4 linked regions of the Pelodiscus sinensis genome follow. The protein of the gene in region 1 interacts with the protein of each later gene in a pairwise test. Links are inferred from orthologs where the notes say so. Each region holds a gene or a part of one and is shown on either strand. Other genes may lie near its edges. The genes, in order: BHLHE40, AANAT, NAA50 and RHOBTB3.

What was found.
Region 2: the proteins of BHLHE40 (region 1) and AANAT interact in binary tests that used the Homo sapiens proteins (3 or more experiments, as listed by UniProt). The two-hybrid records come from large-scale screens. The link is inferred for Pelodiscus sinensis from reciprocal best matches to the Homo sapiens genes BHLHE40 and AANAT.
Region 3: the proteins of BHLHE40 (region 1) and NAA50 interact in binary tests that used the Homo sapiens proteins (3 or more experiments, as listed by UniProt). The two-hybrid records come from large-scale screens. The link is inferred for Pelodiscus sinensis from reciprocal best matches to the Homo sapiens genes BHLHE40 and NAA50.
Region 4: the proteins of BHLHE40 (region 1) and RHOBTB3 interact in binary tests that used the Homo sapiens proteins (3 or more experiments, as listed by UniProt). The two-hybrid records come from large-scale screens. The link is inferred for Pelodiscus sinensis from reciprocal best matches to the Homo sapiens genes BHLHE40 and RHOBTB3.

What each region holds. Positions count from the first base shown.
Region 1 is NC_134721.1:16,269,823-16,277,629, forward strand, and holds the start of BHLHE40 (class E basic helix-loop-helix protein 40), read left to right. Parts: upstream 1-4,807; 5' UTR 4,808-5,016; coding exon 5,017-5,096; intron 5,097-5,300; coding exon 5,301-5,370; intron 5,371-5,801; coding exon 5,802-5,909; intron 5,910-6,907; coding exon 6,908-7,031; intron 7,032-7,807. UniProt on the Homo sapiens protein: Transcriptional repressor involved in the regulation of the circadian rhythm by negatively regulating the activity of the clock genes and clock-controlled genes.
Region 2 is NC_134730.1:10,216,739-10,223,812, reverse strand, and holds the start of AANAT (serotonin N-acetyltransferase), read left to right. Parts: upstream 1-4,061; 5' UTR 4,062-6,522; intron 6,523-7,074. UniProt on the Homo sapiens protein: Controls the night/day rhythm of melatonin production in the pineal gland. Catalyzes the N-acetylation of serotonin into N-acetylserotonin, the penultimate step in the synthesis of melatonin.
Region 3 is NC_134711.1:141,203,744-141,211,518, reverse strand, and holds the start of NAA50 (N-alpha-acetyltransferase 50), read right to left. Parts: upstream 3,013-7,775; 5' UTR 2,850-3,012; coding exon 2,842-2,849; intron 1-2,841. UniProt on the Homo sapiens protein: N-alpha-acetyltransferase that acetylates the N-terminus of proteins that retain their initiating methionine. Has a broad substrate specificity: able to acetylate the initiator methionine of most peptides, except for those with a proline in second position.
Region 4 is NC_134716.1:71,203,534-71,211,511, forward strand, and holds the start of RHOBTB3 (rho-related BTB domain-containing protein 3), read right to left. Parts: upstream 3,011-7,978; 5' UTR 3,005-3,010; coding exon of another isoform or gene 2,876-3,004; intron 2,869-2,875; exon of another isoform or gene 2,730-2,868; intron 2,524-2,729; exon of another isoform or gene 2,502-2,523; intron 1,354-2,501; exon of another isoform or gene 1,224-1,353; coding exon of another isoform or gene 1,213-1,223; intron 1-1,212. Other genes in the region: RFESD (Rieske domain-containing protein), read right to left, coding at 2,876-3,004. UniProt on the Homo sapiens protein: Rab9-regulated ATPase required for endosome to Golgi transport. Involved in transport vesicle docking at the Golgi complex, possibly by participating in release M6PRBP1/TIP47 from vesicles to permit their efficient docking and fusion at the Golgi.

The sequences.
Region 1 (7,807 bases):
AATGGCATAATGAATGCTCCATTTACCAAGGAGCTTAACTGTTGCATACTGTCTTTGGTTTCCAGTAAAGCTGTCAGTACTTGATGAATGATGCTGTACTGTCTAGCTGACAACTCCCTGTTGCCTCCCTTAGCCCTTTTAAAATTTTTCTCACTGCAAAGACTGGAGCTGAGATCTGGGACCTGCCTGCATGGGAAAAGAATTGCCGCACCTACTTACTAAAGAATAAGCCTATCTTCCGCCACTCCCATGTAATGCAGACAGGACTACCTGTTAAATTAGAATTAAGCAGATCCCATATAAACCTTTTACTTCTGTAGAAAGTAATGAAGGTTTATTACATAGGACCTTACACTCAGCACTATATGCTGAGAACTAGCCACTTCCATTCCTCTCCTCTTACTCTGGATACCCTTAGCTTCCAAAAGGTTTTTGGTATTTGATGTGGCTGTTCTTTAACCTCCGGTGCCAGTAACATGAAACGAGACTGTTGGAAATGAGAGAGGGAGAGTCAGTTATTTGATTACAGCCCATGGGCACATGCCTGGCCTTCATGGGTATATTAAGTAAGAGACATTTTAAACAAAACCGCCCTCAGTAACCAAAGGTCTGAATCCACTACTGTCTGTTAACTCCCTGGATTCCCCACATATTCTTAAGAGTGTCAATGATTTGAAGAACTGTATTACTAACATCTGTAAATAACTATAAATCTCTGTTGGACACAAGTTATTATTGTTGTTATCCTATGGCATCAAATGCTCTACAACTACCATTGGAAATGCCAGATTGTCCCTTAATGGCTTTAGAAAATAATGCCATTACTTTTAACATTTCATTATAGCTTCAATCAGGCATTGTAAAAAAATCTGCCATGGAGAAATGGCTCTGCAAACAAAAATTAAAGTGACAAATTAATGATTGCATCAGCCCGTGAAAGCTGTGCCAGGCACTAGGAAAGTGTAATTTAATTCTCCCACAATCTAACTTGATGCCCAAGAATGTAATAACTTCATTTGGGACTCTCTTTCTAGGGGGGAATCCAAAATCCTTGGCAACTACCATTAAGGTCATCAGTGAAACCTGACAAGGCACATTATTTGGCAAACATACCAATAGTGAAAGAGCTAAATAATGGGGGATTACCTCTGATCCTGATTTCTAGCTCACCACCCATTCCAGGAATGTAGTGTCTCAAAGTACCTGTAAGAGTCAAACAACCAGTGGGCATGAATTTTTCCACATATATTTTTATTTTAAATCTAAAACTTAGAGGTGGTGAAAAGTATCTGCCCTTGAACCAAAATGCTAGAATTTGCCAGTAGCAATCCCCTACCATAACTCTACTTATTTCTATTGTTTAATAAAGACAAGTAAGAGAAGAATAAATGAAAGTATGTTAAAAGCTTAAAATTAAATAGCTATATCTATACATTATTTTTAAATGCCCTCACCTGTGGTACAAATAAGCTTAGAGCTTTAAACCAAAGGATTTTAATGCCTAATTTATTTTTCCACTCTTTATGCTATTTGTTTGCTTTACAAAACTCTGCTTTACCAATTAATCAGTTTCACTTTGTAATAAGTGTTAATGAATTTATTTAACAACAGCTGTAGATTAACATTAATAAAGACAATCTCTGCTTTTAAGAGCTTTCAATTTAAGGGCCTGATCCTGCAAGTGCTTATTCACGTGCTTAACTTTTTAGGCACCAGTAGTCTCTTTGAAGTCAATTGGACTACTCATATACTTAAATATATGCTTAAGTTTGCAAGATCGTGGCTGAAGGGCCCAACGCTGCAGAGACTTGAAATCAGTGAATTGATCATGACAGTGAATCCTATGCAGGCTTGGGCTATAAAACACATATGAGAGAACACTCAGTGAGAGAATAGTTAGCTTTGTTTTGTGGTTCTTGGTTGGTAGCTATACTGTACTGTTTAGGCTGCAGACACCACAGGGGAATTTTTCTTTCCTACAAGTAAGATTTTTACCAAACCTCCGCTTTGGGTCTACAATGACCTGACAGGGTTTCGTTAACTGAGTCACCTTCTAGTGTAACAAGTCTACAACTCTAAACCCCTTTAGCACTTTTGCCACCACACATGCATTTAAATGACAGTGTATCCGGAAATGAGCATGCCATCTTCTCTTACATAAATGCTGTCTCCAGTCTCTAGCAAAGTCTTTGCTGACTTCAAGATTCTAGCCACAGTGACTGTCACAGGACTCTCAGAGGAGATAGGGAAATCTTTGATAAACCTTGGCTGGTTTTGTTATTACCTTATCTAGTAAATATACCTTCTTTGGAGTGATCTGTCCTCTCCTTGTTTAGTATGCAGAGGAAATGACAACATATCCTCAAAACAACAAGCCTGCTTTTGCAGTTACACTTCACTATAATCATCCTAAGCATTTGTACAACAGCAGGCAGACAAAAGTCTTAAATGCTTGACAAAGATCAAAGAATTAAACCTCCCCAGACACCTATGAAATAGGTAAGAGTGTAATATTTCATAGCTGGTCCTAGTTCTCAGCTATTCTGCTCCTGCTCTTGGGGAATTCAGAGGCTGCACAGGGGAATCCTAGTTCCCAGTTAAAGGTTTCATGTATACATAAACATGTTGCTGCTTAAACTTAGCTGATTTCACTTTGCTGAATAAGCAATACCAGTAAGCAATGCTCCCTCTAATCTTTTCCATCAATGTGCAGAATGTGCACCTCCACTAGAAACAAAACCTACCTGTGGGCGCCCTGCGGCATTTCAATTTCTCCTGAGTGGCTGCACAATCACACAACTTAGAGCAGGGATTTTCAAACTTGGGTCACAGACCCGCCAGGGAAAGCCCCTGGTTGACCTGCAACACTTTGTTTACTCTAAAGCTCCACAGACACAGAGAGAACACTTTGACCCTAGTTTGAAAACCCCTGGCTTAGAGGGAACACTGCTGGTAAGTGCCTTATAGTGGGCCCATAATAGGCTCTTATGTCAGTAAAAGAATCATACATGCTTATGCTGATAAAAAACTTTCTCAATGTAGATCAGGCCTAAATTACGGTAGCCTCAGCCCTGAGATTGCTGTAATTATATACTCTGCTTCTCTGCCCCCTCCTTCCCCCTCACATCGCCTGTCACATTACCAGTTGTCTTAAATCAGCCACTGACTTGGACAACTGCTCCAAAGGAGCGCACCGCTGAATTCCAATTGTTGGTCACTCTGCCTTTGCCCTGGGTTCAGCTGCAATCTCCTCAGCCCAGACCATGTCTGAGTGCTACTCTGCTAATGCCAGAGTTCACACAAATCCCTGCACCCCTTAATACCAGTTATTCTCAGCGGCATTCCCAAGCCTGGGTATTTCCCTCTAACTGTAGAAATGCACATAGAAGATAATGCTGTTGGCCAAATTCTATGCTGCATTTTATCAAGCCATTAACCACTGCATTACTATAAAGTACAGACTTTAAAAAATAATTAAATTACCTGACAATAGATATGGCATGTTCTGTGTCTATTCCCACTGGAAAGCTGCTATTATTGCATAATAGCTCAGCGGTGGTAGCCAGTTTCTTTTAGTGGGTGGCAAAGTATTTGTCTGTAGTGGCATCAGGGGCCTTGTCCCAATCATTTCCCTGCTGTTTGCTGGGATTTTCAGTCAAAAGCACTCAGAAAATGCATTTTTAGCATATCAGCTTATGAATGTCTTCTCCTCGTCCTGTTTTACACCACTGAACATGGAGAATCAGCTAAATACGCTGCAGTCGGGTGCAGCCGACATGCTCTGCCTCTGCCGGTTTCCATGAACCTGGAGCACTGCCCACTCTGCTGGGAATAGTGCTAGGCACTGAGCCGCTTCAAAAGCCTTTTCCACGTACCAACTAATTCATCCAAACAACCCCTGTGAGGTAGATAAGTTAGGTTTTACTCTCCAACCTCCTATTTTACTGAGAGGGAAGCTAGAGCTCAGTAGTTAAGTGAGGTGCTTGAGGCCAAAGAAGTTGTCTTCTGACTAGGGAAGGGCATTAGGAGGGAGCATCTGGAGCGTCTGGTCTCCATAACCCCTAGACCTGCCACAACACCCTCTTCTGTGAGATCTCTGCAGTTCTACATGGGGGTCTCCCCAGCAATGTTACCTCTATTCTTTTTCCGCAGCGGGGCAGAATAAGTTTTATGAGCACTGCGGCATGTGCGGATGTGCACCACCAACAGGCACACATGCTGCCAGCGGTGGGGGCTGTGCTGCCTTTGAACCTCCCCATGGTGTGCAACCCATTTCTCAGCTTACAGGGAGCACTGGCCATCACCCAACCCTCCCCACCCCACCTCTGGACACCCCCTCTTCTGTCCCTCATGCCCTCCCCCCCCGCCACCTGTGACACCCCCGGGCGGGGACACCCAACCAGCCTGCCTCCCCGCTGCGCCACCCCAGGGTGAAGGCAGAGAAGCCAGGGCCCGCAGGTGCCACTTGCCCACGACTCCGCAGGGCCGGGGCGAAGGAGGGAGGCGCCGCGGAGGCGGGCAGGGCAGCCCGAGCCCCTTCGCTCGCTCCCCTCGCAGCCCGGCCCGGCGGAGCTGTCGCTGTCGCTGTCGCCCCATCACGTTCGGGCTGCTGCTGCCGCCGCCTGGCGTGCGCGGCGGGGCGCCGGGGAAGGCAGGCAGGCAGGCAGGGCGGGGAAGGGGGGAGGCGAGGCCGGAGCGCTGTCCGACACGTGAGGCTCATGTGATGGGGGAAGGCAGGGCTCTCCCGCCCCGGCCCAGACAGACGTGCCGGGAGTCACAGGGTAGAACACGTAGCGCCAGCCACCCACTCGCTCCCATTTAACCCAGCCTGCCGCCTGCCCGCGACTCCTCAGCTCGCGCCCCGCACCGAGATGGTCCGCGCGCCGTAGCCGCCTGCAGCCCCGCAGCCCGTCCCGACGCCCGCGGCTCTGCCACCTGCCCGCGCCCCGGGGCTCTCCGAGGACCCGTTTCGCTGCTTTCGGCCGGAATTAAGTTGCAGCAGAGCCCCCCGCTGCAATGGAAATGATCCCCAGCGCCCAGCCGCCTCCTGCCTGCCTGGGCAAGCTGCCTGCGCTGGAGAGCAACGAGATGCCCGGGTAAGATGCCTCTTCTTTGGGCCAGTGCTCCCCGCCACCTCCCGGGGCGCAGTCTGCCTGCTGGGTTTGGTTGGAACTCCTGGTCCTTCCCCCTGTGCCTGTCGGGCTCCTTGCGTTCTGCATTTGCCCCGTGTGTGTGTGTGTCTGTCTCAGTGTGTAGGGCTAATCATGCTAATTCATCGCACTTTTATGTCATCTGTGCAGGCTGGCCTTTTCTCACATGTATCAAGTTTACAAGCCCAGAAGAGGGTTAAAAAGAAGTGAAGATAATAAGGTAAATGGAGGAATTGCTGAATCTTTGCATTGTTAGTTAACACCTGTGTTCATTTGAAAAAATGAAGTTTTATGCATTAGTGTCTGTCTTTCGGGTTTTTTTTAAATCTGCTTTTTGTATAAAGCTGAACTCTTACAAAATTTGCTGAGGGATTTAGGAGGGTTGTTTTAACATTAGACAGTTTGAATCAAAGTTTTTTTTTTTTTAATGTTATGAGGCTGTTGCGCTCACACCTATTGTCCTTGAATCTGGGGCTCAGAAGATGAGAGGGGAAAATATTTATTTCAGTAGCTGTTACATACAATACTTTTGGGTACACAGAAGCTTGAGGTCTAATTTTATTTCTAGATCACCTTTTACCATGCGTCTATCCATGGTGCTAGGAAGTCATCTTGTGTCTTGTCTGATTGCTCCTTTCTTTTGGCTTCCAGGAGACCTATAAATTGCCCCACAGACTGATAGAGAAGAAGAGACGTGACAGGATTAATGAGTGCATTGCCCAACTGAAAGATCTCTTACCAGAACATCTCAAACTTACAGTAAGTGAAAATCTGGCTAATATCCAAACTCCTCTTCCTTTTGGGGATGTGCCTTGGTTAATGGATTTCTGTGCCATCTAGAGGCTTCATCTCAGCACTGCAGATCTAAGTGGAAAAGGCTATGATTTGGGCAGAGTTGCCACATGGATCTATTACAATTGGTTTTCCTTGCAGATACTGTGAATTTCTAAATAGTGTATATCTGTGGTGGTGGTGGGATGATGTGAATTAAGTTGCTGCAATATTAAAATAAATCATGAGGTAAAAGTGATTGTTGTGGGCTTGATTTGAATGTGGGGGGATTTGTTTTTTTTTTTAAATTGAGCCTCTGAAAATGTTCCTTCTTGCTCTTTTTGAAGTTTTACTGGATGCCATTTATAAGTTGATCCCTAACTTATCTGAGAGTCAAGTCCCTTTAGAGATTGCTTCCATACTTGCATTCTCTGTGTTCTTGTTCTGCAACACATTTTAAGGTCAGCCACTTCTGCTTCTGTAGTGTGTGTGTGAAAAAGAGTAAAAGCTTAAGTGCTTGATTAAAATTAAAAGAAAAAAAATCTCTTCAGAAGTTATGGGGAAAGCCATCTTGGCTGACATCCTGCAGGACACCCCTCTCCTGTCACTGTTCAAAAGAAACCCTTTGACTGGATCCCCCTGTGTTAAGGTCATGATACCAGCAGGGGCAGCAGAATAGATAAATAAAATAGTTGTTTGAGAGCTATGCAGTTGGTTCTAAAACACCCATAGGGTGTAACTGTACCCTTCACTGCAACCCTCTTTTTTATTTTTTAAGTTTACATAATATGTGGATCAGACTCCAAATGTTAACATTGTTGCTCAAGACAACAGATTTCACTGAATAAAGACACCGTTTTTAACCTTGTCCGCCAAATTGCAGCTCACTTTTTCTTATATATATCGCAAGGAATTGAAACCTTTGTAAGATTCCTTGAAACGTGACTGACTCTAAAATAAGTACTAACCTGTCCATTTGTTTCCAGACATTAGGTCATTTGGAGAAGGCTGTGGTTCTTGAGCTTACCTTGAAGCATGTGAAAGCACTAACTAATCTCATTGAGCAGCAGCAACAGAAAATAATTGCTTTACAGAATGGTTTACAAGCTGGTGAGTATTCAAGTCATGCTTGTATCATGTGAGAACCCTGGACTGTCTCATGATCTTACTTTCAACATCTTTGAAATACTGGCTACTTATGACACTTGGTTTGGGAGGTGGGAGGAGTAAGCGTTTCTTTTTTTTTCTTTAGCACGCAAACCCCCCTTTATGTACATGTGGATTTATGAAAAGATATCATTTATCCATCTAGTCAGTTAATTTATAACTAGCTGTGAAGTTGAATTTTAAAGTATATTAAATTGATTATAGCTATTTTATTTCATAGTACAGTTTTGCTGTGAGGGCTTGATCCCAAACTGATGGGAGTCATTCCATTGACTTCAATAAGGTTTGGATTAAGCCCTGATTCCTGCACCCCCCCTAAATATGAAAACATCTCTCTGACACATCCTTTTTGGTTTCTCATTAAGTTAGTTAGTACCCAGCTGAGCTGCAAAGAGTGGGCTATTTAAAGGCCCACTGTATTTTACATCTGTTTTTTCCTTCCCCTTCTTTGTGACACTGAGTCTGGCAGGATAGAACTGGTTTTTCTAAAAAGACTGCTATTGCTTGAACAGCCACTAGATATGCAGCAGAATTACACAGCCAAACCCAATATCACTTCCCAAAGTTTAGACCAACCCCGCCGCTCCCCAGGTGCATGCAATTGATTTGGGACGATTTGGGCCCTTTGTACTCAATTTTCATTAGCTGCAGATGAGCCAGATATTTCTTGCAAATCACTTTGGAACTGATGTCTTTCTGAGGTGATACCAAGGCTTATT
Region 2 (7,074 bases), on another chromosome or scaffold:
GGAGCTGCTCCAGTTTGCACCAGCAGAGAACACGACCTGGACTTTCTACAATATTACTTTGTGTGTTAGTCCTCCAGGTCAAATTAATGGTGTACAAAGCCTAGGGCTCTCTCTACAAAGCTGCTCATGGGAGCCAGTCGTGCGTGCGCATGTGTGTTAGTTTCAGCAAGGTGGCATTTCACAGAAGTTGTTTACAATGAACTCTGATAGCAGTGGGAGCCTGCTATCAATGGGCAGCCTTATTATGAATAACATAATAAGGAAACAATGAAAAGCCAGTTTATGTTCACCATGATTTTGTTCCTCATTCCTCTTGCTGAGTGACTTATATTGACATCCTCTGTACCATAAGAAATGCTCTTATGCCATCTTGTGGCCATTCAATGGAAATTAGCAGCTTACTATAATTATTTACAATGACCACCTACAGCAGGAGGGCTACTAAACACGAGGCCCGCACAAGGCCGGTGAGCTGAGCCTGTATGGGCTTATGCGGGGCTCAACATGCAGCCCGCCAGATGGATCCTTTGAACATGGCCTCCATTGGGAACATGCTCCACAATGGTGAGTCAATATAATGGTCTTCTGTTGATATGCATTTTAGTAGTCACATTCCTGGACTCTCATTGCTCATTAAAAGTACTGCCATATAGGTGGAAATCAGGTAAATATTGCATTTTATTAATATCAGCAGAACTGACTTAAATAGGGCCTACGTGTTGTGTAGTCGTGCCTTAATCTTTGTATTCATGCCCATCAGTGTGAAAAGCTATTTGCATATATTTACGCATATATTTGCATGTATATGCAACCACACTTAAGTTGTGGCCCTTGGCATGTGCTGTGAGTGTCATTGTGGCCCCTGGGGCTTCCAAAGTTTAGTAGCCCTGACCTACAGCCAGGGTGTCCATCAGTTCTGAAGCAGTAGCCACTATGTGCTGGTCTACAAGCAGTGGAATGTCTCCGCTACCAGGCCTGTTATTTCAAAATAAGAGTCTGGTTATTTCAAAATAACTCCTGCTTTCCACAAGGAATAATGCTAATTTCAAAATAGTTATTTCAAAATAGCATCAGTATGGAGGCTCCAGTGCCTCTATTTCAAAATAACTGCTCCCCAGAGTCATTCAGACTAACAACTCCCCAGTGCTTCCTGGAGCCCTAAGTTTAGGTAGTGCATCCACATTAACAGAGCCTGTCTCAGGCTGATTTCAAGGCTTCCCTTAGTGTGGACATGCTATTTTGAAATTATTATTTAGGGAGTTATTTCCCAGTGTAGACATGCCCTATAGTGGCTACTGCAATAGCAAACTAGCCCCACTCAGCCAGCCAAATAGCCACATGTGGCTAGTGTCTAGCATGTTGGACACCATGTACATATAGCAATATGGGAAAACATGGGAGGGTAAATGGCTATCAGAGATAACAGGTCACATTATTTGTCTGGATGTTCCAATGACTGCATTTTAAGGGAATGTCAGAGGACAGGGATCCCCACTTACAGTAAGGATGACAGGTATTTAACTTCAAATTGGCACTTCTGAGGGAGCATCACTCTCAGAATTGGGATGACACATTTTAAAGGGTGGATGCTTTCAGTAAGTGGTTCAATATTCACTGATTTCTTAGGAGCAGAGAGAGACCCAGACACGAATGGAAAGCTCTTTGGTGCAAGGACTCTGTTATATTCCGTGTCTGTAGAGCACTGTGCATGCACTGGGCCCAAACTGTCTTCCCAGTGCCAACCTAAGTAGCTAGGCTGCAGTGACCCACCCTGCTGCTACTCTGGACATGACAAGAGTCCCACTCGAGGCTGCTGAGTAGGGGCAGAGCTGCTCTGAAGCCCTACTTCATCCTAATGTTTGGAGAAGTCTCCACCATTGGGGAAGAACTGGAGACTTGCTGTGGCACTGGGACCTTGCTTGGATCCTGCACTCTGTGGCATGCACCACCTGCTGGTGCCTTTTGACCCAACTCTGCCTGCAAAGCTGATTTAGGCCTACATAAGCCTCTCCACTCCTCTGTCACTGACAGCTTCACAATCATCACAGCTCACACCCATTGGCTTAGCAGGAGCTAACAACTCTAGTTCAAACCTGTCACCAAATAGAGAAATACTACGAGGGAAGCAGAACTACACACTATGTTAGGAAGCTTTTGAACGCTATGGCTATGTCTAGACTGCAGGCTTCTTTCGGAAGAAGCTTTTCTGGAAGAGATCTTGCATCTGACAAAGTGGGTCTTTGCCCACAAAAGCTTATGCTCCAATACATGTTAGTCTATAAGGGGCCACAGGACTCCTTGTCACTTCTGAAAGAGAGTATCTACATAGCAAAAGCGCATCAAAAAAGCGATCTGCTTTTTCAAAAGATAGCGTCCACACTGAATGGATGCTAGCTCACATTTCTTGATTACTACGGATGGAGTGGTCATCAGGGCGCCTGCGCTTTTTCCTCTTTCAAAAGAACTCCCTTTTCCCTGTCCACACGTGCTCTTTTGGAAAAAGGCTTCTTCCTCATAGAAAGAGGTTTGCCAACGGTGGAAAAACCCCTCTGCTCTTTCGACTTTTTCCCCAAAAGAACGTGATTGCAGTGTGGATGTAAGTGACTTTTTTTTCCTGGAAAAACAGTTGTTTTTCCAAAAAAACCTCTGCAGTGTAGACATACCCTATATTATGTATGGAAACCACTAGTGGCAGGCTCAGCAGAATGGTGCAAGACTGAGTGACCAATGGAAGAGATTTCCCCTTTGACTCTTAGAGCTGCCCTTGCAGATCAGGGCTGATGGTCCTGACAGCCTTGGTTGAGGCCTTTACTTCACTACTCAGGCTTTGCTTATTTCAGAGACTCAGACTGACAGCCCTCCAGCCAGATACTGCCTACCAGCCTGTTGACTCAGTCTCCCTACTTGGGTATTTCTTCATGTATGTCAAGGGAGAGATTTAAACACCCTCCCTTTTTGTTCCTGGTGAAAGTTTGTAAAACAAACCCCTGAATTGGAAGCATGATGGATAGTCACTAAGCTTAATCCTGCAGGTGAATTTGTCTTCCCCACTAGGTGGTGCTCTGTACCAGTGCGTCTGCCTCCTTACAGAGTCTAGTGCACTCAAAGTAGTAAGTGCATGGACCCCAGACCCTTTTTGCTGGTGACCTGCTGTGCTTATATTGGAAGCAGAATGATGCAGCAACAATTAGAGCCAAGTCCATGTCCCAAAGCTCAGACCGAAATGTAGTTTGTCCTAAAGGTGTGGGGCTCAGATTCAAATGTTTGGTGTAGGGCCCACCCAAGGGCTCCTCTGCAGCCATCCCTCTCCTCCTGCACTAGCTGGATTATACCTTGAGATCACTGGACTTAGTTCAGCTACTGGGACCCAAGAGAAAAAGCAAATGAGGCTAATTGCTCAGCGCTTGGGGAGAGGAGAACAGAGACACTCACTTCACTTCACTTCACTGGAGTCCTGCATAGAATGATATGTGAACTGGATATTGGTGTATATTGAAACTTCATCTCTTGCTTCGTTAGCCCCCTGTGTTCCCTCTGATTCATCAGTACCCCCATTTAACTGGCCCTAAGTCAGAAGAGAGGCCAGAGGTGCTGAGAGCCATTGAACCAAACTGTAAACAAACATCTTAAAACCAAACTTTGAAGGCCCAGAACTGAGCCTCCTCACCCATATTAATGGAGACAGACTGATAACTGTATCTGGCTTCTTCCCAAGGCTGATCTTCAGCTGTGCCCTGCACAATGTGTGGAGTGCATATCTCCCCCTTTCTGCCCACAGAAAAGCAGTGTTTGGAAAGAGCAGGGAAATCCAGCTAGGCAAGTGGGACTCCAAAGACATGGGTCCATGAAATTGTGACTTTCCTGCATGTGGCTGCCTCAGGCTGTGCTGCCAAGAAGAAAGCAGTGAGGTGCAGGGGCAACTTCTCCAACTACTAAGCGGTAAGACGGTGGAATCTCTAAGCCCTGCTGTGACATTACTGTGGTAACAAGCAATCAAATGATATTGGCTGCCCCATGCTGTGCTCTGTAGAAACGGATATTAGAAGTCTGGAGGAGAGTTAGAAAAGCAATCATTGGGGCAAATTCTCACTGGCATAAACTGTCACAGGATCACTGACATCAGAGATGCTGCACTAGTTCACACCAGCAGATAATTTAGCTCACTGAGCTTTATTTGGTGATAAGTTCAATTTCATAAGCAGGCAAGCTGGAGCAGTCTGGTTCATTCTAATTACACTCCACATCTGCACAGGTTATAAAGTAAAAATGCACCAAGGAAATGAAACTCAAAGTAGAAACATTACATCATCAGAACCTCTCTCACTGGCCAAACTGCCCTGTAAAGGCAAGATACTCTTCCACCACAAATCTTAAAAGCTGCTTAAATCCTCATGGGTCTCAATCATAATGCATTACAGCAGGGGAGGGAAGAAAGTTGCACAGATCATTATGACAGCCAAGACTCCTTGGAGCGGGTGGTTGAATTTATAGGTCAGTTAATTGCAAAGTGATGAGAATGAGGGATGTAATTCTTTCCTTCTCCCCCGCCACCCCAAAAAAACAAATCATAAGCTACCAGCTGGCTACGTAGCTTGACAAATGGACAATAAAGGATGGTTGCAGACAGATGCAGAAGTGCCAGCTCTGAGCCCTTTGAAGATGCTGTGGGCGCTGCTAAATATGTAAATATCTGTAATTTGCCAGTGCTCTGATGCTGAGGTTTTGACCCCTCCACAGCTGGCAGACAGTGACAAGGAGAAATGCCCTGTTCAGTTTAGCTGTAATGGGGACAGGCTGGTTATTGTTAGTGCTATTTGCTGAAAGGTTTATTTTTTATTGGGTGAGTGTTTGTTGCATTGTACTTCTGTTTGGATTAATACTGAAAAGAAAACCAGGACTTAGCCTTAGGGTAACTGAGTGAGACTTGGAAGTTGGGCACATCCTGACCTCTTCCAGATTTACTTTAACCGCATAAAGAGCCAAGTTCTGCTCTTTGTTATTCCCATTTTACATCAGTGTTACACTAGTGACTTTAATGAAGTCACTTCACTTTTACATCACTAATTCCAAACAGGATCTGGCCCATAAAGTCATTGCTGATAACAAAGGAAGGTACCAGCAAGGTTATCTTGTGTCTGAAATATTTGCTACCATCTTGTATTTGCCTCAGCTAGGGCAAAATCCTGATGGCTTTACTCAGCCATAAAATCTCACTGCAGCCTGGCTCCTTAAATCGTAAGACCCTCAGAGCAGAAACTTTCGGTCAGATTCTGATTTTTCCTTAAGGGTAACTCTATAGACCTCACTGGAGTTACTCCAGATTGACACCAGCATAAACGGGAGCCACCTCCAGCCATTTATCTCTGAGTTTAGTAAAGCACCTTGTAGACTGCTGCTGCTGCGTACGCAGTTTTAGTGTGAAAACAGCCCTCCTGCCTCAACTGGTAGTAATTTCCTGATGCATGTCTGTTCGCAGTCCAAGCTCAACAGCATGTTCATGGTTCTGCTTTCCTAGGGCTGCCCCAAATTCTGATCCCTCGTGCTGGTTTTACACCAGGCTGACTGCAATGGCTTCAGTGGTGTTATCTTTTCACGTAAGCAAGAAGAAACACAGACTCCTTATATTTCATTTTGCAAGTCCCATGAGTCCATTTCTTGCTTTGCTAGGGATTAGCAATGTAAGTCATTCCACAACATATTTACCTACAGACAAAACCCATCAATTGACTGGAAAGCTAAAAGCTCTGCTGAGAATACTTATTAAACCCACGGGGTCAATTGCAGCTCCAATTTGTGATGCAAGTGGGTGCAGCTGCACCAAAAGCAATGACATTACAGCTGCTTTCACCATGCTGGATTTTAGCTCATTGAAGGGTCTTATGCAACCCCTATTCTCTGTCTGTCAGGGTTGAGAATGACAACCAGGGATGGCTCATTTGATGATTCTCTGTTCTATTCATTCCCTCTGAAGCACCAGGCATTGGCCAGTCAGAAGACAGGCTATTGGGCTAGACGGACCTTTGGTCTGACCCAGTCTGGCCATTCTTATGACTTCAAATGGATCTAGATCTGACCCTCCTTGCATTATATAGTGATGTGTTATTTCATGTTTTCTAGCTCTTCACCTAGTTATTGGGTCTAGCTACTTGGCCACCTGAGTTGTGCAAGCAACTCTGAGTATCTAGCAATCAGCTAAAATGCTTTATCCCCCTGCAGACACTCAAGCCAGGAAAGAAAAGCCTCATCGGATGCTTTTGCTGGCATGTCACCTTAAAGCCTCTCACCTCTCTCTGTGACTCAGCAGGGTTTATAAACGTCTTACTATTTTATCACGTGCTCTGTACATAACAAATATATAAGCAAGAGCTTCGTAAATCACAGCAAAGTAAAAGCAGTAGGTAGGTCAAAACTCACTGCTGCCTGTTTTCTCCTCTGGCGGTAAGACTGCAAGACCAGACCACGCCATCTAGAGGAACAACTCTGGCATTCTTACAAGAAACCCTGTTTCATACACGCACACAGGTAATTAATTGTCTGCAACTTTACTGAAATGTGTGGTACTGATTTTCTAGAGTGGAAAGCAGCCTGTAAAGAGGCCATTCTGTTCTCCATAGAATTGCATTTGGTGCGCTGTCTTGTAGTGCAAGGAGCTTTGTTACATTAAAATGTGTATGCATAGACATTGATTAGAATGTGGATCCCATGGTATTCCCCCAGCCCCTGCATCCATCCCAAATCTGAGCGGGTGGAGTCTTGGCGCTGAAAACCCCACATTTTGGAATAGACAGCGCTTTGCTGCAAGAAGAATTTTCAGACCTAAACTTATGGTTTGTGATGCAAACAAACCCTCATTGTTTCCACACGACCTGAGCATTCAAAGACCAATCAAAATAGATTTACATACTAGACTGGAAAGAACATTGGTTTCAGTTGCCTGTCAGTGTGTGCTTGAGCAGATGAGCACATACATCTCCATGGTTTGTATGAATGTTTAGATTCCTTCGGCACATGAATGTGAGGGATCTAATATTTGCATGTTCAATCTTGGGCAAGTCACTTCATTGCCGCATGCCT
Region 3 (7,775 bases), on another chromosome or scaffold:
GGGCCGGACCCGCGGCGCTGATCTGCAAGCGCCGCAGGTCCGGCCCAGGTCTTCCGCCGCTTTGCTCAGCGTCTCCCTGGTCTGCAGATCTGGAAGCGCCACAGTCCGGCCTGGGTCCTCCGCCGCTTTGCTCCGCGTCTCCCTGGTCTGCTGGGGGGGGACACAGCTAGTGCCCCCCCCCCCCAGCAGACCAGGGAGACGTGGAGCAAAGCCCGGTGCCTGTGGTAGAGCAGGTGGGGCGCTGCCGGTTGGTCCCGCAGCACCGCTCCTTGGCGCTACTGGACCAACCCGGCAGCACCCCAGCTGCTCTGCCCCAGGAGTCCTGATTCAGCCGCTGCTGATCAGCTTCAGCAGCGGCTGAATCAGGACGCCTGGGGCAGAGCAGATGGGGTGCTGCTCTGCCCCAGGCATCCCCAAGTTAGCCGCTGCTGAAACTGACCAGCGGCTGACTACAGGAAGCCCGAGGCAGAGTTGCTCTGCCCCGGGCTTCCTGGAATCAGCTGCTGATCAGTTTCAGCAGCAGCTGACTTGGGGACGCCTGGGGTTCTTAAGTTGAATCTGTATGTAAGTTGGAACTGGCGTCCAGATTCAGCCGCTGTTGAAACTGATCAGTTTCAGCAGCGGCTGAATCTGGATGCCAGTTCCGACTTACATACAGATTCAACTTAAGAACAAACCTACAGTCCCTATCTTGTATGTAACCCGGGGACTGCCTGTACTCTAAACGGGAGTAGGATTGACATAAAATTCACTATTAAATCTCTATGAGGGAGCAGTAGTGGGATGTTCTACTTGTAACAGAATCCCCAAACTCAGAAACCACTGAAAAAGCAAGAGTACAGAGAAAATGGCAAAGCTCCAGTAGAGAGATGGTGCAGCATGGCACACTCATGGAGTACTGCTTATAACTATATCCTGCCAAGAGATCCCAGTGTGCTCTGCCCGGATGCACACAGACATACATATAAAATATCCAAGCCCAAACAACAGCTCTGCCTGATTCACAATCAACAGAGAAAAGAAAAGAATCAGAGAAAAGCCAAGCTATACAAATCTGTGAGAGAGAGAGAAGAGACAAAATTCTAGTTCCACCAACAAAGTAGCTGACAATGATTTTGCCAACTGTGGGCTCACCTTTGCTGATCAAGCTTATCGCCCTTCCCACATACTTGCCTATGCCAAATAAAGCAACTTTGACTAGCTCCCAAGAACATGGGAAAAGAAATAGGAATCTGTCATTTCTATAGGGCCAGGAATCCATCATTTCTATTGGGCAATATTTTATTCATACATATTTCCATAAAATAATTGCACATTTGTACCTGAAGTGTGTTAAGTTTCGGGACCTGTTTTTTCAATCTCTCAGCTTTACTCTCTCAGTCCCAAAAACCATTTAAGGTGTCTGAAACTAGACATGAGAAATAAGATACCTAGGTTGCTTGATAAAAACTTGGTGTATGTGACCTTACCCCAAAAAGTTAATAACAAATGGTAAAGGGCTAAAAACTCTAAGTACTTCAACTACCATTTTACCCTGCCTTAAGCAGCCAAACTGGAATAGTAATATCTGTCACTTACATAACACTTTCCAAACAGTAATGATTTGCAACACCACTTCTGGAGCCCTCTTATTTCATGGGGGAGAAACTAACACACAGAGGTGAGATGACTTGCACAAAGTCACATAAGAGGTCAACAGAGCTGGGAACCAAATCCAGGTCTCATGACTTCCAGCCCTGTGTTCAGAAAGCTAGACCATGTTACCTCTGTATAGCAGTAGAACCAGTATTTCATTTACTACATTTAAAACCTCTATGCCACATTTTCATAAGAGAACCAGAAAGGGAGGTCCTAAACAGATAACACTGCAAAATCATTGTTAGGTGCGAAGACTAGCTTTTTGTTCCATCCACATCCTGCAATCACAACAAGTTCTAAATAAATTTTAAAGGCTACATCAAAAGCAAATACTCGTGGAAATTACACCATCTTTTCAATCTTCCCTACAAAGCAGTCACACAAAGCTGGTCAAGGCCAGGCAGCATTTTAAGACAAAATATTATTTCCATTGTTGTTCCATTGGGGACTTCTCTGAGTGACTTCCCAGATACCAATTTGATGACCCTGCTTCTATCTTCATCATCATTATTATTATTATGAATAGGGGCTAAAGAAATTGAATGCTAAAGTTAATTCACTTGCATACGATTTTTTCAAGATAGTTTCACAGAAAAGACCTCTACACAAGACGATAAGCTACATTTCTCAAAAGCAGAGTGGAATGAACCAGCTCTTTCCACCTACTATTTCTGCAATAAAGCAGATAAAGTGAGACAAGGACCAGAAGAGTTGTTTTTGGCATGGGGGGGGGGAGGGGAGAAGAGGAGGTTCCTTCCAAGAGCAAGGTGCCGAGCTTCCTGCAGTTCAGGGTCAGCGTTTCGCAGACACACACAGTGTAACGCTACACCCCAGCTGAAAACCAACAGCTTCATCTCCTCCGGCCGGCTGCACACACGCGCTCTCCCCAGGACAAGCCACAATTCAGCAGCCCGCGGGCCGGGCTCGGAGCGGCGGGAGAAGGGGAGGCGGCTGCGTGGGGCGCCCCACGCGGGCGCTGGGCGGAGAGTGGCAGGTCCCGGCGCGTGAGGGCGGTTGCACTGGGATTAACGTCTCGGCGTTTGCGCAGCTGCGCGGGAGAATCGCGCCACCACTGCCCGGGCCGCTCGCTCGCTCGCGCACACTCCGGGCCCGGGCCGGGCTCCGCGGCAGGGCACAGCGGGCCGAGGCGCGCCGGCCGGGGAGGCCGCTGTCACAGCGAGGCCGGGCGGGAGCCGCACTCACCCCTTCATGGTGCGGCCTGGCGGGGCCGGGATCCGCGCTCGGTGCGTGCGGGGCCGGCGATGCGGCTCCGGCCTCCTCCTCCTCGGCGCTGGCGGTTCGTGCTGCGGCAGCTCCCCCTGCACATGGGCCTCGGGCCGCCCGCGCGCCGCGCTCCGCCCCGCCCGCCGACGTGACCCCCCCTCACCTCACGTCCTCCTCCCCCCCCCCTCGGCGCCTGGCGGCGGCGTGACTGGACCAGCGCTGCGCGGCACCGCCCACGTGACCTCTTCCCGAGTCGCTCCGCGGGAAGAGCCTTAGCCTGTCACGTGGGCCGAGGGAGGCCAATCGCCTGCCTCCGCATCTATGACCCGTCATTCCAAAAAAAAAAAAAAAGCATTCAAAGCTAGCCGGGCTCCCGAGCCCCTCATTTCCGGGGGAGGAGGGATAACACTCGTGACGCGGCGCATGCGCCCTGGGAGCGACTGATCAGCTGATCGCTGTCGCCTGCTATTGAAGAGAAGCGGCGGAGCGAAGTGGTTCAGCTGCCCCCGCCCGCCCAGGTGAGGCCCCCCCCCCTCCCCACCCCCCAGCAGAGGCGGGAAGCCTCGAGCCGGGCGGGTGGCGCGGGGGCTGCCGGGCCGGTAGCGGGGTTGTGGGGCGAAGGGGCCGCGCAGCGACGGCTGCGGGGGGGGCCGAGCCTGGGAAGCCGAAGCGCCGCCAGGCAGAACGTGGGGCTGGAGGCGGCAGCGGATCCATGGGGGGGGGGGGGCGCAAGTAGCGCCAATGAGCGCGACAGGCCCGCGGCGCAGGCTGACCCCGCGCGGTTTCTACGACTGAGGGTCCCTCGGGAAGGACCCGGCCCCGCAGTTTCGGCCTTTCATTTCCGGAATGGGGAAGAGCGAACGTGAAAGGCCTCTCGAGTCTCTTCAGTCTAGCGCCACATGGCCTGTGTGTCTCCTGCTCCTGTGACAGGGGCGCGCTCAAGTATCCGCATCTCGTTGTCGTTTCCCTTTCTAGCGCTTTGTGCTTAGCTCGTCCGAGCCCCATTCTTAACTGAAGGGTTCAGATGTTGCTGTTGGCATTGAAGGTCAGCTGATAACTAGGGATGTAAAAAGTTGGTTAAATAGATAACTACGTAATTGCTGAAAATCTCAAGTTACATGTGGTTGGACTGTGCAGTATAAAGTTTAAATAAGCTTTATATTGCAGTGCCTGCAGTGAAGCCTCTTCTCCCTCCCCCAGCCTTTGCTGGCTCTGCTTCAACTTTTGAGCCTCCTCCCAGGGAACTGGCCCTGCCTCTGAGGAGCCAGTGTGTAACTTGTGGTAGGGGGGCGGGGTGAGCCTGCCATGGACAGGGGGTTACTCCAGCCCAGTGGTAGGAGTAGCCCCTGCCTGCGGTGGACCCCACTGGGCTGGAGCAGATCCCTGCCAGTTAACAGGAACCAGTAAGCAATAACCGTTTAAAGTGATGCTTACCGGTTAACCTTTCACAGCCCTACCAGGGTGACTCAGTTCCTTCGGGGGAGTCACTGTATGGCTCCCTATCCAGTGTCCCTCCTACACTCTGTCTTGGCATGACCATAGTAGTGGCTCTCTAATTTTCTTAGCCTTATAAGCTTTAGACCATCTCATTCTGTAATAAGCATCTCCACATGCAGAGCTGTTCCTGAAGAGCTCTATGTGTAGGCCAAGCCCTTCCTTCTTCCAGAACTCTTACACCATGGCTTTGTCTACATTGGCACCCTTTTCCAGAAAAAGGAGTGCCAATGAGACAAGTCGGAATTGCAAATGCCGCGGGGGATTAAAATATCCCCCGCGGCATTTGCATGAACATGGCTGCCGCTTTTTTCCGGTTCGGGGCTTTGCCGGAGAAAAGCGCCAGTCTCGATGGGATCTTTTGGAAAATAAAGCCTTTTCCGGAAGATCCCTTATTCCTGATCCCTTCCTGATCCCATCCTGAAGGGATCAGGAATAAGGGATCTTCCGGAAAAGGCTTTATTTTCCAAAAGATCCCATCGAGACTGGCGCTTTTCTCCGGCAAAGCCCCGAACCGGAAAAAAGCGGCAGCCATGTTCATGCAAATGCCGCGGGGGATATTTTAATCCCCCGCGGCATTTGCAATTCCGATTTGTCTCATTGGCACTCCTTTTCTGGAAAAGGGATGCTAATGTAGACACAGCCCATGTCTAAGGCTTTCTATTTTTTATTGAATATTCCCCTCCTGTTCCTCTGCCTGCACAGACATAGATAGGCCTGAGAGCAATCCTAGATGAAATAATGGAACGGCTGATAGAGAACTCCTTTAACAAAGAATTCAAGGCAGGTGACTAATGGCAGTTGGCATGAATTTATCAAAAATAGATCTGGCTCCTTTGCTAACTTGATATTATTTTTGATTGAAAAAAGTATAATGAAAATACAATACAATTGATAAAGGTCATAGTGTTGATATAACAGGTTTACGTAAGACATTTGACTTGTTCCTGCAAGATATCTTGATTAGTGAATGATAATACAAAATCAACATGTGAAATGGATTAAAACCTGATAGGTCTCAGCATGTAACTGTAAATTGAGACTCATCGGCTACGTCTAGACTGGCATGATTTTCCATAAATGCTTTTAACGGAAAAGTTTTCTGTTTAAAAGCATTTGCGGAAAAGAGCGTCTAGATTGGCACGGACGCTTTTCTGCCAAAGCACTTTTTGTGGAAAAGCATCCGTGCCAATTGAGACGCACTTTTGTGCAAAAAAGCCCCGATCGCCATTTTCGCGATTTGTGCAAAAAAGCCCCAAACAAATCTGAGCTGTCTACACTGGCCCTTTTCTGCAAAAGGATTTTTGCCTGAATGGGAGCAGCATAGTATTTCCGCAAGAAGCACTGATTTCAGACAGTAGGAAGTCAGTGTTCTTGCAGAAATTCAAGTGGCCAGTGTAGACAGCTGGCAAGTTTTTCCGCAAAAACAGCTGCTTTTGCGGGAAAAACTTGCCAGTCTAAACACAGCCATCAAGTGTATCCAAAGGTATCAGTTCTTAGCTCTTCGCTAGACAACTTCTTTTGGAGGAAAAAAATGAATAGTGATTAAAATTTGCAGTTGACAAAAGATTGTGGGAGTAGTAAATGGAGAACATGCCACTGAGATCACTCAGTAAGCTGGGGAAAGATAATGTGTTTCAATTTAGCCAAATGTAAGTTAATAAATGTAGGAACAAAGAGAATAGACCATTCTTACAGGATCAGTGACTATCTTGGGAATCTGACTATGTGGGAAAAACTTTATCAATCATGATGCATAATTAGCTGAATGTCATACTGGTAGGTAACACTAGTCTGGGCTAACTTGATCCTTGGCTGTCTAAATTGGAAAATACAGTATATTACTTGTTTGGCACCGGTACAATTGCTGATGGAATAGTGTCCGGTTCTGGTGTCAACCATTCAAGAAAGACGCTGATAAATTTTAGAGTGTTCAGAAAAAGACCACAAGAAACATTCAAAATAGTAGAAAATGTTCTGTATAGTGAGATGATGTAAGGAGCTCAATCTTTTTATCTTATCAAAGAGAACGTTCAAAGATAATGTGATTACATTTATATGTACCTACAAAGGGAACAGAATTTTGATAATACAGACAGGAATATAGCAGACAGAAATATAACAAAATCCAAGTTGCAGCTAGACTAATTCAGATGGGAAACAAGGTATCAGTTTTTAACATGGTAATTAACCATGGAACCATTCACCAAGGGTTATGGTGGATTCTCCATCACTGGACTTCTTTATCAAAAGTAAATGTGTTTCTAACAGATGCTGTAGTTCAAATACAGCTACTGGGCTTGAAGCAGGAAATAATACAAGGAAAACCACATAAACTCTGTTATACAAGAAGTCAGGTGAAGTCCAGAAGTCTCCGAAGAAATTATCTCTGAGTGAAAGGTAAAGGTCCCATCTTTAAAGTAGCACAGAGATTATACAGCATCCCACCTATTGTCTTCCCTCGGTTAAAACAAGTTTGACTATGGTGGGTATGAGCTCCTGCTAGAGAGGAAGAACAAAAAAATATTTTTTCCCCTTCGACACAACTTAAATTTTCTTTTGACTTGAAAATATTACTGACTTTTCTTCCTGCATAGTCAAGTCCACATGACCCATTGGAGGGGAACAGTGTCAAGAAAAACAGAGAATGGATTGAGATGGAATGTCATGCCTGTATGTTTCACCCTTACTCACTATGTGTTTTGAGAAGTGTGACTGCTTCTGAGGGGTAGAGTAGATAGAGGAAATAAGAATAGATGTCTGCCCTGGTGGTGCAGCTGTCAACACCTACTGTATTTTAGAGGAACAGTGGGTCCAAAATTTCTTGATCCTCTTTTCTTAGAGGTGATCAGTCACTGTGTGCGCATTGGAGTTAAAAGTGACCTGCTCAGGAAAGGAAATTGGCCTATGTCTGCATTATTTTTTTCATAGTATACACAGTTGTCCTGAAACTTTTTTCTGCTTTTTTTTCATTAAGTAGAACATATGGAACTGACACATTGTATCAGAGCAATGGTCTTTTAGTTTAATATCATGTCTGACAGTGGCTCGTACCAACTGCATCAGACGAACCACCCTGCAATATAGACAAAAAAGGGATATCCTGTCCTCAGGAGTCTTAACTCCTGGTTAATGTTCTGCAGTTTAAATGTTTGTTCTTCCTAAAACTCTTTTTAATTGCATCTTTGTATTATCTTTTTAAAGGTCTTATCCAGAGATAGGGAAAAGACCTCTGGATTAGACCTTTTTTGGGTTGGGGGCTGCTGACCCACAGAAAAAACAAACCCTCACTGACGTGGCCCCCGACTGCAAAACAGAAAGATGCTTCTCACATTTCCTTTGCGTGTGAGAGCCTAGGGGGCCCCAGCTAGTAGATTTTGTGTGCTCCAGCCCCACAGAGGGGTGGAGGGAAGGCTGGA
Region 4 (7,978 bases), on another chromosome or scaffold:
AAGATGTCATCGATGTACCGTAGGTAGAGAAGGGGCAAAAGGGGACGGGAGTTGAGGAAACGTTGTTCTAGGTCAGCCATAAAGATATTAGCATGCTGCGGGGCCATGCGTGTACCCATGGCTGTGCCGCTGATCTGGAGGTATAAGTTGTTCTCAAACTGGAAATAATTGTGGGTGAGAACAAAGTTACATAGGTCTGCTATCAGGTTGGCAGTGGTGTCCTCTGGGATAGTGTTTCTAATTGCTTGTAATCCGTATTCATGTGGGATATTGGTGTACAGAGCTTCTACATCCATGGTGGCAAGGATGATGTTATTGGGGAGGTTATCGATGTTTTGTAGTTTCCTTAGGAAGTCAGTAGTGTCTCGGAGATAGCTGGGGGTGTTGGTTGCGTAGGGTTTGAGGAGAGAGTCTACATAGCTGGATAGACCAGTAGTGAGCGTGCCAATACGAGAGATGATGGGACGTCCGACCAGATCCCCTACCCACTTCTGCACCCAATTTTCCACTGTTAGCCCTGCACCCAGTGGGGCCAACAGCCACGTTGGGCCCTGGGGCAAGGTGAAAGGAACCAGATCCACACCCCCCAAAGAGGTGGAGCTGAGGGCAGTCAGACCTTAGCGCCACCCAGACTGTGGTGTTTCTTCCTCCCCCAGCCCTCAAAGCTGTGTGGAGTGGCACATCCTGTGCTTCTGCAGCAGTTCAAAGAAGTTCCAGTGCCTTTTGAGTGGCCCGGCCCCAGGGCAATTGCCCTCTTTGCTCCTCCCCCACATCAGCGGGCCTGCCTGCACCCTACTTCCCACCCAAAACCCACACCACCACTCCCTCCTGCACCTATTTTGTCAACATGGTTGGTTGGCTGGTGATCCTCAGAAAGGTTTGCACTGAGTGGGTTGGGCCACAGGCCAAAAGTTTAAGAACTACTGATATAGGAGTATCTCCAAAAGCAAACAAAAACCAGCCCTCCCTATAAAGAAAAGCAAATGAGCTAAAACTACTTTTTAGACAATGTCAGAGTTGGGGACATACACTGATTTAAAATAATACAAGTGTTAAGGTTTACCTACAAAAGAAAAACAAAATTAAAAAAATGTCTTCATATGTACTGAGACGAATTGAGGGGGGGGAGAAGGAGTAACCAAAAATGGGACAGAATCAAACTCTAAAGAGGGTCAAAGCAATTTAGCTCCTTAACGTAAGTCACATCAATACCTTAGATCCATGCTAGCACATGACAGAGATGAAGAATGGATGAAGGGACGAAGTTTCAAATTAACAAGTGCAGCACCAGTTCTATAGCTCCATCACATCCCACACCCGTTTTGTTCTCATATGTATCAATTCTTTAAGTTCTTCTTTATTGAAAAAGGTTTTCTGAAACACAGAGGAATTGGTCTTAGCAGCACAAAAAAGGCTGAAATGAATGTTGGCAGAACCGATAAGAGGAAGGCTGAGGCTGGGCTGATAACAGAACATGAGAGATTTCTGAAAGTTGTTTTCTTCTTTACTCCTTATAAATAATTCTCATATCTGCCTTCTCCAGATGTATCTTGGAGTCATATTCTTTTAAAACTAGCCAATTAGCCCGTCATAAAACGGGATTTTCAGGTCTCTCCTCCACGTTGGTTGTCTTTCCTGAGCCTCTGATCTCTCACTGCGTCTCTCTCTCCCTCTTTCTTCTCCTCCTACTGCCTCCCTCTCTCTCTCTTCTCCTCCCCCTCCTGCCTCTCACTCGGGGGACCGTGGAGCCCAAATGGCCTTTTGGGCTCCACACTCCCCGTGCTGTATGGGGAGCGTGGAGCCCAAACAGCCTCTTGCACCACTTGCTCCCATGCGGCGGCCTGGCTGAGTGGCACAGAAGTCAGCCGAGCGCCACGGCGGGAGGCGAAGGGGGGAAGACGGTGACATTCACAGCCAGGGGGCAGGGCCTGGAGCCGCTGTCATGCCGCACGTCACCACCTCACTCCCTTTCCCGCCATGGCGCTCAGCTGACATCTGCACCACTCAGCCAGGCCGCCACGGGGAAGCAAGCGGCCGTTTGGGCCCCGCACTCCCCATGCAGCACGGGCCACCCAGAGGGAACAGTCAGCATTTCAGCGTTACAGACTCACAGACACTGGGCTACTATATATATGATGTGTATACGTTCTTATGACATTCCTATGGCCATTCATGCATGGCAAGCAAATCATTCTCCATCAAATATTCCTGCAGCCCCTGCAACTAGTAGAAATACCCCCATGGCACTTTCCAGACTTTTTACGAGCTGATTATGCATAAATCAAATAACTTTACAGCTCTTTCAGGCAGTTCAACCACCCCAGTTACAGCTCAGCCCATGTTTTTATTTCTAATTAAGAGTTTATATTAATTATTAGAGTCTCAGGACTACATTAACTTGAGCAGGGCTCATTCCGCTTTCACAGCTAGCTTTGTTAGGCAGGGAATTGTACACTCCTGATTTCTAGTACTGATTCTAAATGTAACATTTTCAAACATACTGATCGTAACGACACAGGAGCGCGCACTGGGTTCCTCCCCCCGCGCCGTCATACCTCTTCCGATACGTCACAGACAGAAACCCCACTGCGCCGCCGCAGCAGCCTCAGAGGCCACCCCGCAAAGAAAACTACAACACCCAGCAAGCACCGCGCAAGGTGACCCTCATAACCCGTTTAGAAGAGCTCGCGCCAAGCGTTCTCCGTCAGTAGAAAACAACTGTCACGTACCCCTGGATGCGTCCGGCAACAGCGGCCGACCCTGCCAACGGCCGGCGAGCAGCGCTTCAGCCAAAGGTGCCGCGGAGAAGCACGTGACAAGAGAACTCTAGGCCAGCGCAGCACTGAGCGTCATGTGACACGTGACGAGCTCGTACCTGCGCGTCACGCGAGGGACGCCGGAGGATGGAGCCGGTCTGCATTACCCCCTGGCGGGGAGGCCGGCACTGCAGTGCGCGTGGGCAGGTGCTGAGCGCTTTGGAGACCGGCAGCCGTGGGGATCTCATCCGGCCGGTGGAGCAAGTGGGGAGGGGGTAGCTCCACGCCCCGGAAGGGGTGGGGCCTCTGGCGGAAAGAGCGGGAACCTGTAGCCTGCTCTCAGGGCCAGCTGGCAAGCGCCTGCTTTCGGTGCTCCAGCCGTTAAGGGGCTGCTGCTGCAGTAAAGGCGGCCAGGAACTCTGAGCCAACTGGTGACTTGCCCTGCTCTCTCCATCCTCCCTTGGCTGAACAGGGAGCTGGTGCAATAGTGTAACCAGAATGGGACAGGTGTGCGTGGGCAATGAAGTGGAGAAGGGGGATTGGGAGCAATGGGAGCCTTGGAAGAAAGGAAAGGATACACATTTTACTACAGTAATATTTTAGTAATGGCCTCTTCTGCAAGTGGAGATAATATTTTGTTGATCCACTTTATTCATAATAGGCAATGTCTTGGAAAATTCAGATGAGTTCTTTACCACCAGACACTTGGATCATTCCCCTCTGGTTTGTCATACTTGGAAGCATTAAACCAGAACCCTAGATATAATTTAATTCAGCACCCACCATACACACAATTTGAACACAAGAGACCTGCTTTGGAAGAAAATTAAAAGGTTAAGAGAAAAAAAAAACCTAATTCAGAGATGACATAGAGCACTGTTTCTTAAATTCTTTGAGATCATGGAACACAAAACAATATTTTTGTGTAACATCTATGAAAATTTTCTTCAAAACAAAAAAATTTTTGTCAGACAAAAAAAGACAAAAAGAAGTAACAAAAACAAGAGGTCACAGCATACCTGTGAGTTGCTCACGGAACACCAGTGTTCTGCGGAACATAGTTTAAGAAACACTGACATAGAGGGCAAGCATAACTATCCAGGTTACACAGAATATAAACATAAATATAAATATAATCTCAGACTTTACACTTCTATATTAGGTAAAATCCTTTGTCTAGTACAAAGAAAACCAAGAGTAGGAATAAATGGTCAGTTTTCACAATAAAAGTAAAAAGTGGCATTCCTATGGATCTGTACTGGGACCAGTGCCATTCAAAATATTCAGTAATGATTTGGAAAAGGGGAAATGGTGAGGTAGAAAATTTGTGCGTGCTACAAAATTATTCCAGATAGGCTAACTGTGACGAGGCTAACTGTGACGAGTTATAAAAGGATCTCACAAACTGGGTGATGGAGAAAGAAAATGGCAAATAAAATGCAATATTGATAAATGCAAAGTAATGCACATTGGAAAACAATCCCAACTATCCATTCAATAGCATCTAAATTAGCTGTTACCATTCAAGAAAGATATTTTTGGAGTCATGGGGATATTTCTCTGAAAAAAATCCAGTGTGTGCAGTGTCAGTCAAAAAAGTAAACAGAACGTAGGAACCATTAAAAAGGAATAGATAATAAAAAATAAAGTAGTATAATGTCAACATATATCTCCAATGTATGCCCACACCTTGAATACTGCATGCAATTCTGGTCACCTCATCTCAGAAAAGATATAGAAAAGATGAAGAAAAGCACAATGAAAATGATTATGGGTATATAATATCCCCACAAAGAAAGATTTAAAAAACTGGATCTGCTGGAAATTTAGAAAAGATAATCTACTATATATTTTGGAAATTTTGACTCTATGTCTATGGGTTTGTTCGTTCAAGAGCTCTTAAATGGTAAGAGCTAGGATCACCAGTTTTGGTAGGCAGCTTTCTTTTATCACAACTCAAAAACAAGGTAAGGTTTTGGTTGTGCCAACTCATTGGCACAGCCAAAGTGCCTGGAATTTGATTGTTTCTCATAAAATGGAAAGGGGGGGGGGGTCTGATCAGAGGACAATTATATTGTAGAATGACACGGAGGGTAGCAAGAGGCCAGAATAGGAATGTAAGCAACTAGTCGAGTCACTGTTTCAGAGGCAGCAAAGAGGTGAGGGGGAGCAGGAGCTGGTCCTGGGGAGGAGCCAGCTTAGAAGGTGGTGTGGGGAGAAGCGGGGCAGGGGAGGCAGAAGCACAGTGGTATGGAATTCACTGCGGCTCTGCTTTTTAAATGTAGTAAGAGCCCCCTGGCTCCCAGACTGCTGCCCTAGGTTCTTACTACATTTAAAAGGCAGAGGCGCAGTGGGGGACCCGGTGCGAGCCAGGACTCAGCAGATATGGTTTACGCCAGGTCCCAGACCACTGCGCTTCTCCTTTTTAAATGTGGTAAGAGCCAGGTGGTAAGAGCCAGATTTTAAAAAAGCAGAGACACAGCAGTCCAGGACCTGGCACAAGCCGGGTTCCGAACCTACTGTGACAGACCGGGCTGGGTCTGGGCACAGCTGAGGGCATTTGCTCAGGGCAAATTGCTCAAATTCGGGGCTCTCTATAGCCCCCCAGACTGGAGACCTTTCCAAATAGGCCACAAACCAATCCCACAGAGCACTTCAGCTGCCTGCCTGGCCAGCCAGCAGCCTCACAAGCAAAACCCCTACGACACCCCAGCAATATCCGTGCCCCAGATGGCCCCAGGCCTCATACATAAGTGAGGGATTTAGAAACCAATCTCTCCTTCCCTTAACAAGTTCTGTCCGGTTCCAAGAAACCAGCCACAGATCCCAGGTCAATTTATACTCTGCACCTTACCCACACACAGACATTATACAAGTACATGAATAACATATATGGAATCAGAAGAAAGTATGCTTCTATTTGACACTTCACATGGCCCCCTTTGTACCACTTTTGGAGCCAACAACCCCTGCCCCATGGGTGCTGCAGTGATCTGGCTGCTTCCTTAAAATCCAGTAACATGACACCTACCTCTGCTGTAGCTCTGCAATTTATATGTAGTCCAGTGGTCACGTAGTAGATCTTGGAGCCTTTGACAGGTGACCCTGACTGGTTTGGCCAAGAGGCTATCAAGCACAGCACTTCAGCTGCCCCTTCCCCCGTTCCTGTGCAACTCTTGCCCTTTGCCTTGGAGTTGTCCCTCCTGCTTGCTGTGCAGAGCAGGGGAGATAAAGGCGGGACGCTGATGTCAGGATGCCCCCTCTCCTACCCTGTGTTCTATTTCCACAGAATGGAGTGTGGGGGGGACAACAGGGCTTGAGAAGGATGGAGTTTGCTGGCTACTTTGGAGAGTGGTACAGAGCCAGGGCAGAGGTGAGACTGCCTTAGCCTCCCTGCCCCGCCACCCAGGGGCCACCTGTGATAAGTAGTGTCCAGCTATAACCCCATTGGGCCAGCAGGCGTTAGGGGTGGAGAAAAGGACAGGTATTTACTATATATTTCAAAGAGTTTTTATGTCTGTCCCCCAGTTGGGGGACATGCACTCCTCCCCCAACTGTCTCCCACTGGCCCAGTGTTCCCTGCAGTGTTTCAAAGCAGCAGCACCACATGAAGCGTGAGGCCAACGGGGGACTCACCAGCTGGCCCTCGGCTCCACAGGGCATTTCAAAGCAGCAGTGCCATGTGGAGCCCAGGGTCTGGTCCAGGGCTCCATGTGGTGCTGCCACTTTGAAGCACTTCTTCCTCTCCCTCCCTACCCTGCTGCATCTTTCTGATAGAGGCAGCGGCAGGGGGAGCAACTAGTCGACTAGTGTGTCGACTATCCAATAAGCATTTGCTTATCGGGTAGTTGACTAGTCGTTCACATCCCTAGCTGGGACTGGACAATTTAATGAATCACTCAAAATTGCCCTGCTCTGTCCATTCCCTCTGAAGCATCTGGTACAGGCCACTGTCAAAAGTCCTGGGCTTGAAAAACAAGCACCCGAGTTTTGGGATCACATTGTTATGAAGATACAGGATGACAAGCAACAGCTGCAGAAATTCTGGATGCACAAAGCCATCTTCCAGCAACTGTTCGCAGAGTTTTCTCAAACCCTCCACCACAGGAACATCAAAATGAGAGCTGCAGTAACAGTAGAGACATGAGTGCTGATCGCTGTGTGGAACCTGGCGACACCAGACTGCTGCTAATCAGTTGTGAGTCAGATCCGAGTGGGGAAATCCACTATGGGGTTTCCAGTGATGCAAGTGTGCTGGGTCATTGTCTCCTGCGACAAAAGACTGTAACTTTGGACACTGTACATGAAATAATGGATAGCTTTGCAGCAATAGGATTCCCTAATCATGGTGAGACAATAGATGGCACAAAAATTCCCATTTTGGCCTCAGACCACCTTGAGATGGAGTACATCGACACAAAGGGCTAGTTTTCTATGATATTGCAATTGCTAGTGGATCGCTTGGATCATTTCATTGACATCAATCGAGAGTTCAGTGGGCAACTAGGTTGGGAGTGAGATGGAGCTATTTCTACCTGAGCAGCCTGCCCAGGCTTGGTTGTCAGGGGCTGGAGCTGAGCAAGCCAGAAGCTCCCTCATCTCATGGCATGTTTCTGTGTATGCTACTATAACACTTCAAATGTACCTACCTGTTGGTATGGACTCTGAATGTTAGTGTAACCCAAACAGGCAAAACTGAACCAGGGACCTTAATCAGGAGCTTAATGCATGAGCCTCTAGTACTTGAGTTATAAAGCCAGGTGGCTCTCAGCTAAGGCTGTACAGCAAACTCATTTTTCTTGCTCTGTAAGTGGTCTAAGGGCCACTAACTGGACAGTGAAACACACCCAATAGGTGTGTGAGTTACATTAGCAGTAGTCATCATATGTTGGATAATTATTTAAAGATTCATTCACTTTCATAAATTCAATTTTATTCCACACCCATGCAAACATATTTATGTATTGGTTATGTAAACTTCATACACAGAGGGAAAAGTATTTTTAAAAAAGAAGGAACAGGAAATTCACAAGCACATTTTCCAGGGAGGCTTTCAGAGTTGTGGGTTTGTCCAGCTGTCATTGTGCTGCTGTGGCTCCTGAGGAAAGGAGGAATGTGGGGAGAAGGTTGTGGAAAGGTCTAGGAAGGCAATTCTGTATGGGTTACAGAGGGAATCAGGCATAGATGTGTTCAGACTGAAATTCAATCAGGAACTGCAACAT